Linked DNA regions of Coturnix japonica. The protein of the gene in region 1 interacts with the protein of each later gene in a pairwise test. Links are inferred from orthologs where the notes say so. Each region holds a gene or a part of one and is shown in the gene's direction. Other genes may lie near its edges. The genes, in order: FGFR1 and GRB14.

Region 1 (7,255 bases):
CTGGGAACAACATCAGAAGAGGCAGAAAAGCTGTGCTCAGGACCCTTGAATACAAGGCAGGATGGCTTTTGTGTTTTGCTCTCCCTGGCTGTGCTGACTATGGCTCCTGCTCAGCTTCCCAAAGGCCACATCTGTGACCCCCAGAGCCATCCTGTGTGTGCCCTGAGCAACTCTAACCCTCTCCTCTGGCTGGGAGAGCAATGCCTGGGGCCATTCCCCTCCATCAGTATCAGACATGCAGCCAAGCGGCGCAGACAGAAGATATTTCAGTGCTGTTAAGATGCAACCAGCAAAGGAAAGAGCTGGTTTAGGTCGATGAAAATAGCAGAGGAACCTCAGAGAAAGGAGAGCACTCTTGCAGTGGCTGAGCTCAGTGCTGCAGCCCTTTAGCCTGGGACAGCAGCATCCTGGAGCCAGCATGGCCAGAGTGGGGCACAGGGAGGTGAAACCCAGCAGTGCTGGCAGCGATGTGGCTGCAGCCAGAGCCTCTAATAACACTTTATTGAGTCAGAGCAGAGAGGGAGAGAGGGGGCTTCCTGTAAAGGCTGTACTCAGCTCCTAAATCATGCCCAGCAGCTAATATTTGTTCCCTGGTGCTGCTGGTTTTCATGAGTCACATTTTCCCTGGGAAACTTGGTGTTCTGCAGGCTGCCAGGTCCACAGTGTCCCTGTGGCCGGTGGCAGGGTGGCCAGGACTGGGTTTGGGGCTGGGTTTCTCCTTCTGATGGTTCACCAGACATAGAGCTGTGCAACTGGAGAGCCCCAGCCTTGGGAAAGAGTGGCTGAGCTGCTTGTTGTGACTCAGATGTTCCAAGGTTTGCTCAGGTCGGCAGCACACCTGGAAGCTCTTCAGAGCAGTGCGTGGTCCTGCAAAGGCTGCGTGGCAGGAAGAAGCAGAGCAGAGATGATGGGGCTGGTGCAGGCTCCCATTAGAGCATGGTCTGGTTGTCCTGAAGCCCACCCAATGCACACATTGCCCTGGTACAGGTGCATACTCGGTGCACATCCAGCCTCCAGCACACTCATGTATGCGCTGCAAAGAACACACGTGTGCACACACAGCCCCTCTTGCAGGCAGGCAGACCCACAGCCAGGCAGAACCAGATGTGCTCAGGCCTTTTCAGGGAGGGATGAAGCTGCAAAGTCTTTGTCAGTCGGATCTTTCAGGGAAAGCTCTTTGTTATTCAGCATTTGCTCCTGCCTCCCCCCCCCTCCAAACCCAAACTGGCTGCATCTGCTTTTGTTTTCTAAATGCAGAAGTAGGGACTGAAAGGAGCCCCTTTGTGGTGGGGAGGAGGGGAGATCTGCGGATCTTTAAGTGGGAAACCGAAGGTCAGGGCAGCCCCTATTCTCCCAGCAGCACCTTCAGTTCTTCCCTTGCTGCCCAAGCACAGCAGCACATGCACACAGATCCTGTGGGCTGTTCTGCCAACGGAGCCTTACGTCCCTTTTATCCTCATGCTGTTCTTGATTAAGAGCAGTTCAACAACAATCCCGGGTTCCTGTGAAATCCCCATCTGCAGCACCTTGAGGCTGCATTGATAACGTGGGATGGAATGGCACATCATGGCCACACATGGAGAACCCCCCGGGTGGGCAGGGGGCACTGAGGCACCATCCCCAGCCTTGTGCCCACCAATGTCCCAGCAGACTCCATCACTCTCAGTGGCAGAGTTGGGTTTCCTGCTCTTCCAATAGGACCCATTTATGCTCCACTTGTGCCACCAGATGATGATAATTCATGGTCATTCCCACACTGAGCCCCAGTTTGATGCTGGGGATGTGGATATACCCCTGAGCCTCCTTGGGCAGGGGATGCTTTTCCTATTGTCTGCCAGTTCTTTTGCTCATAAGGGCCCATTTACCAGTGTCTGTTGATGGAATCCAGCAGAAAAACCATCACAAGAGCAAAAGGGACGTGATTCCTCTGCCTGCCTCTGTGCTTCCTGCTCTCAGCAGCCTCAGTTTGCCAAGGGAATAACGCATGGTACCTTCCCCTCCCTCTGTCCACACATCTGTCATCCTGGAAAGAAAGTATTCGTAGGTCTTGGCACAACACTCTGAACAGTTGCCTGAAGCAGCAAGAGGCTGTTCCTGAGATGGATGCCCAGCATTTGGTTCAAATATAGCGATGGTGATTGACAGGGCTAATTCAGCCTGTCCTCTTCCCTGTTATAACTTAATCACTTGCACATTGCCTCGCGCAGATCTTTCCCTGCCAGCCAGGAGATGTCTTCATTCTGGGCTGCCTTGGTGTGAAGCTGACTGGGGGCTGCTGGGCTGAACCCTGGGCCAGTTTTGGGGAGCTCACCCAGAGCTGAGCTCCATCTGTGGGTCAGGCCAGGCTGGGCTTCATGGCACGGCCATACACCTCCATGTCCTCAACTTGAGCATCCAGCACAAATGCTGCCTGTGTATGCAGAGATGTTTTGGGGTGCTGAGCTTTAGGGCAGCACCAGAGCTCAGGGAGAGGTTACCCAAAAGCACAGCACAAACTGCAGCAGTGGTGGTGGCTCCCAGGAAGGTGTTGGGTATGGAAACTCCATACAAATCGGCCCCACGATGTGGGTTAGGGGTAGGGATAAGGGTAGGGTGCCCGGGGTGTCGCAAAGCAGAAGATCTGGGGTACAGGGCTGCCCCACACCTGCTCCCTGTGTGCAGTGTAGGGCACACAATGGGGTGAGTCACAGCCGAGAGCAACGGAGCAACAATCCGGCGATCCCCCCGCTCCACGAGCGGAGTTTTCGGGGACCACCGCCGCCTTCAAACCCCCCCCCGCCCCACTCCCGAGAGTCCGTTCCGGGGCGGCTGCCGGCAGCTCAGCCCCGGGGGCTCCGAGGGGGCGGCCCGGCGGTGACTACAAGCCCCATCAGGCCGCTGAGGAGGAGGAGGAGGAGGGCTGGGAGGAAGGCGGGGGAGGAGCCGGCGGGAGGCGGCGGGGCGCTGCGGGAGCGGCTCAGTCCGGCGGCGGCGACTCGCGGCGGGGACGCGGCGGTGCGGGCAGCGCTGAGCGGCGGCCGTCGGGGCGGACCGCGCCTCCCGGGAGCGCATCCCGCCGCCACCTCGGGGCCGGGGTCCGCCATGGGGCGGCCGCAGTGAACGCGGCGGCGGCGGGGCTGCGCTCTCGCCCCGGCCGGGGCTCCCCTCCATTGTTCCCGGGAGCGGCGGGCACCGCGCCTCCGCCGCCGCCCCGCGGGACTCCGGTGAGTGCGGGGAGAGGGAGCGGGGCCGCGATTTGTGCTTCGTGCGGGGGGGGGATCGCTCCGGGATCGCGGCCATCCCCATCCGACCGGGGGGGGCGGCCCGACGGGGCCCCTCTGCGGGCAGCGCGGGGCTGCGGCTTGCGGGTACCGAGGGCGCGGGGCTGCGGTACCGGAGGTTCGGAGGGTTTAAGGACACCGGAGCGGTTCGGTGTGTGTGCGGAGGGGGTTCGGCTCTGAGCCCCAGGGCACCCCGGGCAGCCGCCCGGCGGCACTTCGGAGGCGCGGTGGCTCGGTGCCCGGTTCTCGGGTCGGTGCGTTCTGCTCGGTTCGGTGCCGAGCTCCGGGACTCTCCGTGTTGAGGATCCGGTGGGAGCCCGGAGCTTCTGCCCGGCCTGCGGCCGCCAAAAGTTACTGGGCGGGAGTCTGGAGGTTTCTAAAAGAAGATGGAGAAGGAGCTGGGATTGTTGCGTTTGGAACTCGAGATGTCGGGGCCTTTTCGGTACAAATCGGCTGCGGAGGCGATGGAAATGAGCCGGGCTGAGATCTTTGTGCGTGTTGGCGTGGGAGGTGAAGGGGATCGGAGCGTCCTTTGCCAGCATCGGGGAACGGCTCCTGCGTGTGCGCAGCGTGGCGGCCGCCTACGCCGCAGCATTGGCGACATCGCGGGGCTGATGCGTGCGGGACCGATGGGCGCGGGGCTCCGCGTGGTGCCGTGGGGTCACAGCGGTTCGGTTCTCGGTTTAAGGCCGGCGGTTGCCGCGGGGAACGAGCGGCGCTGAGTGTCCATTTGAGGCGGATTCCAGCGAGCGGAGCCGAGCGCCGTGTGGATTGTTGGATAACTCGGCGGTGCTCCGGGCGTCACGGCTCAACGGCCAGACCTCCAAAGTGCGATTTAGCGAGTGCTTGCGTTAACAAAACTGCGGCTTTGGAGGCTGCTCCCAGGCACAGGGAGATGGAGCTTTGTGCTCGGCACTGATTTGCAATCATGAGATCCCGGGATGTGCCCGGCCGGGATGCTGCAGGACCCCGCACCTCTCCCTCCGGCCAGCAGCCATTTTCCCCGCACAGGAGCACTTCCTCCCTTAATCTCCACCGTGCCTGGCATGCACCGTTGCTTTCTTGTGTTGCTCAGTGAGGATTAAAACAAATGAGGATCGTCCCTGCCCCGGCAGGAGCAGCGCTGTGCTCTGTGTGCACTGCGCCCACTGGGAAGGAGCCCGAGCTACTTTCAGGTGCAAACGGGATCTCTCTGTTTATATACCTGAAAACAAATGAAGTGTATTGGGAGCTGAGGATCTCCAAGCCCCCATTGCTCAGCCGGGCCTGGAGCACAGATGCTTGTCCCAGCAGTTTGACTTTACCCTCATTGGGACCTTCTGCTCCTGGGGATGAAGGCAAATGTGAGCAGCGGGGATAGGTCTGCGTGTCCTTCCGCCCGCAGTAGCTTTCCTGGGAGGAGCTGAGTGCAGCAAACCCCATCCCGCTCCCTCCCAGCTGGGTAACTACTCTGCCTCTAACAGGGGGTGGGGGCTGTGTCCCTGTGTCCCATTCTAGGGCAGCTCTTTGCTGGAGCACTCAGCACTACCAGCATGGAGCAGCCTTTGAGGGATCAGCATGCCTGAAAATCAAGCCCCCAGGTGGGCATCCCTTCTTTTAAACCTGATCTGCTTTTACTGAGCCTTGTGCCCCACCAGACCCCCATTCACATCACTGCATGCACGCAGTGCGCTGTAACTCAGTGCTGGAGCCGTTGGTGTGCAACAGGCTGCACCATGTGGCTGCAAAGGGTTAATGCTGAATGCAGCCCGCACAGTTGGATATTTATTTTTCCAAGCATGCGTCTGCTTTAAGCATTACTGATTTTCCCTATAGTTACATCTGCAGTCGTGTTTGCTTTTTATTTCAGCAAATACTTGGTTTTGAGCGGGCGGTTGGGTCAAGGAGTGCAGGGCAAGGAAAAGGTTCCCTGTGCCACCAGGAGCTTTGCCTTTGCTGTGCCCTTCTGCTGCAAGGGCACATGGAGGGGCTTGGAGCCAAATTCATCCTACATCATTGTCAGGGTCTCCCATTTGTGGTCACCATCTCCTGCCCATGGGTGGGAGCATCACCTCAGGGTCCCCATGTGGAGCAAATGGAGCCCCTTAGGGATGTCCTGGTGACCCTCCCAGCCCCATTCCCACCTGGGGTGTCCCGGTGCCGTGGCCCTGCTTGTATCCTCACCTTGGACACTTTCCCAGGGATGAGCCATATGCTGGGAAGGGGTTTCCCCACTGTTCTCTGCTCAGCATTGGGCTGTGTATCCTATGTGCAGCTCACTCAGCCCTGACTCACAGCACAGGGCGAAGGTCCGGGGTCATTTTGAGGACAGCAGGGCTGGCAGGTTGCACCTATGTGGGCAAAGGCTGTGCTGGGGTGGGAGCGTGCACAGGTGGGCATAGGGGTGTTCCTTCAGCTCCTAAATAGCCCCGTGGGTGTTGTGGCCGTTGTAATTGCAGGTCTCTAAGGGGCCCTTAGCTCTGGTTCCTCGCTTTCTGCTTCCATTTTTAGTCACTTGAATCCACCCCAACCAGCAAATTGCAGCGTGCAGGGACAGTGCTTGCATGGAAGGAGCTGGAAACTCACGCTGGGGCTGGAGCAAGCAGATTCCTTTGGGGATCCATATCTGCACACAGAGCGGAGCTGTGCATTGTGTGCACAGGTTGGAGGGTTCCTGGGCTGCTCTGCCTCGCGTGCATCACTATCCCTGCTGCAATGGAAACTCTCTGCTGTCGGCCCCTGAGTCAGCGCCCGCCCCACTGCAGCTGAGCCCCACTCTGTGCCCTGACTCACTGCTGGGAGCCGCTGTGTGCACCGTGCTGGGGGGGGGGGGCTGTAGCCACTCCACATTAGGGCATGTTCCGGGGGGTGCTGATAAACAAAACCTCAGAGAGACAGAAAATACTTTCCAGAAATGCCATTGAATTTGTTTCTTTCCATGAAGCGTTCCCACCTCCTCCTTCCAACCGCTGATAAATGGCTCACACTCCATCAGTGTTTTCACCAGCTATAGATAATGCCCGTGTTTGCTGGGTGTTCCTGTCCTTGTGTGAATAGTTTGGGTGCCAAATGCTGAAGAGCTGGTAAGGGAAGAGGCAAAAGCTGCCCCAGGGTTAAATGAGGTCCTTTGGGACAGAGGATGCCCCGTGGTGGGAAAGGGTTCATTGGGAAGCAGGAGCACGATGGCATCCAGGGCTCCAAGAGCACGTGGGGGGATGAGTGGTGGCCCATTACTCACTGCAGTGGTTACTCACCTTGTAGTAATGTGCATTGGAGCCAGATCCCATATGGCAAAGAAGCACTTGTTCACGCGGTGCGCTCCGCACGGGGCTTTGGGGTGATGTCAGAGCAGCACCAGGTGAGCTCATGTGGCTGCAGCTCCACCTCTGTGCCGTCCCCTTCACACCCTCTGCTCCTGGAGCAGCCATCCATCCCAGGGTTGTGCAAGATGGGGCACGGAGCCCTGTGGGAGCCCAAGGGGGCCATTAGTGACCGCGGGTGTCAGGACCTCGGCTGGAGGCTGTTGTGGAGCTGCAGATGTCGCGGAGGGAGGAGTGCAGTGCTTGGATTGCAGCCTAAAGGCTTTGGGGTCTGACCGCTCAAGTCGGGTTTGGCTGCGTTGGAGCACAGAGCAGCACAGCTCAGTGCAGGGAAGGGTGGAAGGCAGAGAGATGTGGAGGGTGAAGGAACATCCTCCTGTTCCAGCTCAGCCAGTGCCACTGTTGCACATACACCAAAGAAGTCACCGCACTGTTCCCACAGCAAAGCAGCTCCGGTACCTCCCATGGGGTCACCCCAACACCCCAAAAGGGCTCCAGGAGCCCTCAACCCAAGTTAACCATATGAGCACCTGCTGCTCTGCCCCCAGGGCCTGTGCTGCTCTCAGTCTGGAGCTGCCTGGGGTGTCTGTAGAGGAAGATGTGAAAACAAAGGGGTTCCGGAGCTGAGCAGCAGCACCTCTTCCATCCCACAGAGCCTCAGTCTGGAGCCTTTTCCATTTTGTATCAGAGCAAAGA
Region 2 (6,551 bases), on another chromosome or scaffold:
CAACAAGATGGGGTATTAATCTTAGCTATAAAGATCCTTAGCCTTAAAAAGTAAACAAGTTTGTGATTATATTGCTTAGAGCGTGAGCGTTCCATATGCATGTGTCTAGTTGCAGTCACTTTGGGTTACTTGGAATACATATTTACTTATTTTTGCAAGTAGGATGCCTTGAAATAAAATCAATGCAGTATGTAGATTTTAATTAGAAACCTCAATGACAATGAAATATTCTATTATTTTTATGTATTGAGGGTTTTTTTTGTTTTGTTTGAGAACTGGTAACTCTCAGGGGTGGGCAACAAATTCATTCACTTGGTTTGATTAGATGTGAAACTTGTGTATAATTTTAAGTAGGACTTGTGACTTGTTTAAAATGTGGTCTGTTTCTTGGAGCATCTCTTGGATGTGCATTGGCATATTGGAAATATGAATTCCTTTGCATACATAGAAATTGGAAAGTTCTGGGTTAGTGTGTTTAGGTGTCAGTCATAATTCTGATTGGTTTTACTGAAGGAAGAGGAACAGAACTGAATATGTTAAATGGAATTAGAGTACAATTTTGTAGACAGAATAGAACTATATATTTGGTCTTCACTAGGTGACAGCTGTATTGCTCTCTATCAGTGTCTGGCTAAAATGGCTAAGCAGAAGTCAGTGGATGTCTTGAGCAGAGACTGTGCAATTAGCTGAATTGCACAAAATAAAAAACTGAATTAGCTCCTCTTGGTGCATCAGTTAATTTCTATCCATATCATTCTGACTTTCCAAGGGTCTGTGACTGTGCAAGCCTATGGTTCTGAAGACAAAAGGGCTGACCTTCTGAGTCTTTAAACCCCTCCTGTCTTGCTCCTGATGCAGATTTTTTCAGCCAAAAGCTCTCCACCACATGACCTTGAATGCGGGCAGTAAATACCTGCTGTAGCTCTTGGTACAACTAAAGCACCCGCTTTAGCATCACATAAGGTCCAGAGACCTTATGTTTCCTCCTCTTTAGAAAATGGTAGTATCCTCCAGACGCGTGTGGATTTGTGATAAAGAAATTTTGTTTGCTGAATTAATTTTAATTCGCATCAGTTCCCTTTTTTGGTCTGTAGCAGGCAGGGGAGGGTGAGGAGAGATGTCATTTTTTTTCCTTCTGTTGGTAGCATTGATTTGCAGTTTTATAAAAATAGGGTCTGAGGTATGGGATCAGAACTTCTTACACTGGTTTTGTTGCTGAAGTCAACATATTGCATAACTAATGTTCTCATTTCAAACCATATGTTCCATATAAATATGTAGCTTGCCTTGCATACCTTGGAGTTATGTAATAGTCTGTATGCTTTAAATGAGAGGTACTCTTAATGGGGTTAGATCCAATAACTGAATTACTGTGGTGTAATAGTGTTATCAGCAGTATATTCCTCTTAGTCTTGTCTGAAGATGATAATGAAATAGCAAGATGACCTCAGATAAAAAGAGAAATGTGTGGCTGATATTTTCTTTCAGATGTTCCTAAGCTCCAGCACATATCCTGAGATTCATGGTTATTTACATGCAAAAGAGCAGGGAAAAAAATCATGGAAAAAATTATACTTTGTTTTGAGAAGATCTGGCCTTTACTTTTCCACTAAAGGTACATCTAAGGTAAGGCAAGGAAAAAAACACCAGAGGAAAGAACTCTGAAGTTAGAGTGCGTGTATATGTATTTGTCATTTAATACAGTATTAATTCTAATTTAAATTGTACATTATGTGATTAAAAAGGAAATGTTTTGTATTCTATCTATTGTAATGGGAAAGATTCTTCTTATTTATTTATTTATTTATTTATTTATTTATTTATTTTTGCCTGACTTAATTAGAGTTATCTTGGAAGATGGAGGTAATAGCTACAAGTAATACTCAACAGTAATTACTGCAGTGTGATGTTTTTCAAATTCTAAAAGTATATTTTATTTTGATGGTTGAAATGAATTCTACTCCCAAAACTTCCAAATTCTACTCCTACTGTGACGTGAATCTAGTAGATATTTTCCCAGAAATCTGATGCCTTCTATACTTCATGTTTTCTGTCTGGAAGAGCAAACTATTTGACCAGTTTAAGGTATTTGTTCTCTGCATTAAGAAGTGAATTTTGAGTTGCCTCTTTCTAGATTTCATGAGACAGCATCACAGTTAAAACTGAGATGTAAGACCTTATTTTGGAACAAGAGAACTGCTGTACTATTCTGAGTTTCTTATCTGGAGATGCTAGCTAAAAGTAGTCTAACTGTATTACATTGCTCTTCTTTATAGGAGCCAAGGCATCTGCAGTTTTTCTGTGAATTCAGCAATAGTGATATATACATGTCTTTGACAGGCAAAAAGATTTCTGGAGCACCAACAAGCTATGGATTCTGCTTTAAGGTACAAGCTTATCATTCTGATACATATTAAAGCAAGCCACAGTTTTTCGGTAAGCTTAAGTTTCTTTAAGGCTTTTGAAAACAATGTTCAGCTGTCTGTTATAAAATAGGAGAATTAGTGGCTTTTATTTCAACAGGTATTATCTTCAAGATATGCTTTAATGCTAAAAAAAAAAATGTGCTGTGGCCTTCTAGCCTAACAAATCAGGAGGAACCAGAGACCTGAAACAGCTCTGTGCAGATGATGAACAAAGTAGGACCTGTTGGATGACAGCAATAAGGTTGTTTAAGGTAACTTTTCTGTGTGGAGTTAACTTCTTTCTCAAGTTTACTATGTTAATTTTTATAGTGTGAAGTAGGGAAATAACATAATTATAGGTTCCCATGTAATAGCATTATCAATGCTATCAATGTACGACAAAAGCTGAAGTTTCATCTCACCAGACAGGCCAAATTACTGGAATAATCGTAAGGGAAGGGATGCACTTATATGTAACTTTGCTGAACTTAGAGACAATGTTGGTAATGGCAAACAAAGCTACAAGAATACATGAGATGTTTTAAAAATGTGTTTGTGGAAAAAACAGGTGTAGGTCAGTTGATGTATTAAATGAGCAGAATTTCATGTAGAATGTACGTTTAGAAAAACTAAAGCAAAAACGATGTTGTTTTTCATTATCTTAACAGCATTTGTCCCTACTTTATAATGATAAAAAATCATGGAATCATAGCATTGCCTTCTACACCTGGAAGAAAGTTTCTTCGGCTCAGGCTTATGGTTTAAAATGCTAACCATATTATTTTCTGTTTTTAGTATGGGATGCAGCTGTATCAGAATTACATGCAACCATATCAAGGTAGAAGTGGCTGCAGCCCTTTGAGTATAACACCTATGGTACGTCCCACAGTAGCTCCATGAGTAAATATACTGTTTCTGCAGTCATGCTATTTTTAAGTGACTTTTGCCAGTTACACTACTGACCTGGTCCTGCAGATTTTAAATGTGCTTTGAATGTGTGAAATCTTTAGGGGCATCTGAGTAGATGAGAGAGCTAATTAATTAATTTACTTATTTAATATGAGTTGGGCAGTTCAGACCAGTTAGCAGGCTTTTCTCTTTTGTCAGATAGTCAGTATTTGGGGAGTTTATTGGCTTATTATCACTGTCAGTGAGGATTTAAAAAAAGTAGCAGAACTGTAAATGCATTAAAAAAGAATAACGTGCTTAAGGTTACATGTACTGTAAACGATGAATAAGAAAGCCTTAACAAATCCTTTTCAGTATGCGGTAATGCTTCTGTCTCTGTCTTTTTTCTTTTTTTTTTCTTTTTTTTTTTTTTTTTTTGTAACTGCCCCATATGGTTATTTATTTAAATTGGATTTAACCTGTTGTGATACTGCCTGAAGCTCGGAGGAACACCATAATTTGGCAAAAGTGCATTTTGGAGGCATAGCACTCTGTAGACTGATGATCTGTTTGTCTCCTCAGCCAGATAATTTGGGATCAGGTTGTCCTTTTAAAACCTTATCTTACTTATCCCAGTCACTTCTTTTTTTTTTTTCTTTTCTTTGTTTTTGAGTGATGTATAGCACTTTGTGCTTTTTATGGTTTAAATTGTGTAAAAATTGCTTGTTGCCAGGATCCATTATGATGTTTGGTTTTTTTTTGTTTGTTTGTTTGTTTTGAGCTTTTTAATGTAGTTCTTGCTGACAAAACACTTAAGATGTGTATCTGCTTTTATGGGGATTCACAAAAATACTGTTTTCTGATATTGCTGATAAGCACGGCTTCACAATTACACTTAATATACAGACTATTTATACTGTCTGTTACAAGAAGCTAATGATAGCCAGCTGCTACTTTCATAATGGGTGTGGGAGCCATTATTGATTCTGTCTCCTCTTGCACAGCCACATACACTATAGCACATCTAGATTCTAGTGCCAAATATATAACTGGGTTAAGCATGATACAATTATTATACTTGTCTAGAATTTGTGAGTTAAACAGAAAATAAACTCAAGAATGAAGTGATTAAGCTATTGAAAATAGAGAAAGTGTTTTCATAGAGAAAGTATGTTCAGGTTTTCATATTCCAGATTAGTTTATAACCTTGCCAGCAACAAGAAGTTCCCTCGTCTCTCCTAGAGTCAGACACTGTCTTATTCTCCCTATTATTTTGCTTTTGCCGAGTGTCACAGTTACTCAGACCTTAGACTACAGTGACCTGTAGAATTACTGCCTTCTGTTTCTAGTTACCCTTGTGCAGGGACAAAACAGAGCTCCTTTGGTTTTGGACAGAAATCTGGGCCTCCTGTGTTCTAGATGTTACTTCAGTTCCGGAAGGTTCTTTTAATTATTTGTCATAGCAGCACCAGCCAATGTTTGAGACATTACAATCAGCATCAAACAAGTTTTTTATAAACCTGAATTTCAAAGTAGTGTTTTGGTGAGCTTTAAGACCTGAAATTGTTTTTATTCTGTTGTTAAAAACTTGATATTCACTGGGAGGGAAAGAAAAATCAGGCTTTTTTTTTTTTTTTTTTTTTTTTAAATACCAGATTGCATAATTGTTGAATTTGTGCTTGTTCTTTGATGGCCAGGAATTTGAAGGGGAGTATTAAAACAGAACTTAATCTCCAAAGAAGTGCCTGTTTCCAGTGCTTAAATGCAGTAAACTTTGAGGGAAAAATTTTACAATAAATACATAAATTATAGCAAAAAACTTTAATTCTTTGCTTATATGATGATTACGGGTAGGATTTTCTTATTTTATCTTTTTTTCTTGAACTACTTAAGAATAGTTACCTTACACATATAAGTAGAATTTATGTTAAAAGTGTGTATAGATGTATCACAGTTCTGCAAAAAAGATGATTTGTCCTGCCAAGCTGTGAAATTTAGTTCTGTAGCAGTGGACAGGGCTGTACCTGTGGTATAATGAGTTTGGCTGTGGTGGGAAATATTGCAGATATTTGAAACGCTGTTTATAAAACATAGCACTTACTCAGAAGCTCTATCTTAAAACATGGATCATTAGTTAAAATAATAAAATAGAGAAACAGACTAAATCTGTTTTTCTTTTTTGCAGAGGAGCATTTCAGAAAATTCTTTAGTTGCAATGGATTTCTCAGGACACAGAAGCAGAATTATAGAAAACCCAACAGAAGCCCTTTCCGTTGCAGTTGAAGAAGGATTAGCCTGGAGGGTATAAACATCTTTGTTTTATCAGAATACTGTTTCTCAATCTTAACTTATTTATTTTTTTAACAAGAAAATATTGAAATCATTTTTAATTCTCACACAGAGGAGAGGCTGTCTGCGACTCAACTCACATGGTAGTCCGATTGCCATGTCCAACATGGGTATGTGTGATTTATTTCATTACAGAAGAAATGCAGCAGTTGTTTCAATAAAGCCAACGTATATTTTTAAAATATCTTTATTTCTACAGCTATTCACAGATCTCAGTCATGGTTTCATCATAAAATCTCTAGAGATGAAGCTCAGAGACTTATTTTACAGCATGGGCTTGTAGATGGGTAAGCTAATTCTTTAAATAACCCTTCTGAGACATATTTCTAGCCAACAATTCTACTTTTTATTGTAGGAAGGAGATGGAGGAAGAAAGATTTTGCACTTACCTAATAGAAATAAAAATTCTTTTATATAGGGCTATCTGGGGATCAGTTGGTTTCTATTTTATGTCTTTTGGAAGCATTAAAGTGGTGATCTAACACTTCAGTTCTGTCACTGACAGATTACTTGTGTTCTCTCTGAGCCAAGCATCTGAGCTGTGTATTTGCACAATATTCTCTGTGACCTTTCAACTTTGGCACTGTTCTCTTTTGTATCTCTTATTAGTGATGAAAGAGTGAAGGAAACTCGGAAAGCTGCCTAACCTTATTCCAAAATGAACTGTGTAGGGATAGCCATTGGAAAAGGGTATGCCTTTACTTGTAAAATGAGTAAAGATCCAGCTATCTCTTAATGGTAAATAATGAGTATTAGGGTAAGGCTAATTGCTTCTATTTTTCTCTCATTTAAATATTCATTCAGAGAAAAATGACAGAATATACATTTCATTATCAAACCCTGATATTTTTAATTTTTGTGTTTTTATTTCTACTCCTGTATAAATTCTAGACTCCTGTGTAAAATTGG

What was found.
Region 2: the proteins of FGFR1 (region 1) and GRB14 interact in a two-hybrid assay, tested with the Homo sapiens proteins (2 studies listed by BioGRID, with this or other methods). The link is inferred for Coturnix japonica from reciprocal best matches to the Homo sapiens genes FGFR1 and GRB14.

What each region holds. Positions count from the first base shown.
Region 1 is NC_029537.1:3,723,233-3,730,487, reverse strand, and holds the start of FGFR1 (fibroblast growth factor receptor 1), read left to right. Parts: upstream 1-2,999; 5' UTR 3,000-3,203; intron 3,204-7,255. UniProt on the Homo sapiens protein: Tyrosine-protein kinase that acts as a cell-surface receptor for fibroblast growth factors and plays an essential role in the regulation of embryonic development, cell proliferation, differentiation and migration.
Region 2 is NC_029522.1:26,424,287-26,430,837, reverse strand, and holds part of GRB14 (growth factor receptor-bound protein 14), read left to right. Parts: intron 1-1,488; coding exon 1,489-1,626; intron 1,627-2,276; coding exon 2,277-2,387; intron 2,388-2,581; coding exon 2,582-2,677; intron 2,678-3,200; coding exon 3,201-3,281; intron 3,282-5,478; coding exon 5,479-5,595; intron 5,596-5,694; coding exon 5,695-5,752; intron 5,753-5,841; coding exon 5,842-5,929; intron 5,930-6,551. UniProt on the Homo sapiens protein: Adapter protein which modulates coupling of cell surface receptor kinases with specific signaling pathways. Binds to, and suppresses signals from, the activated insulin receptor (INSR). Potent inhibitor of insulin-stimulated MAPK3 phosphorylation.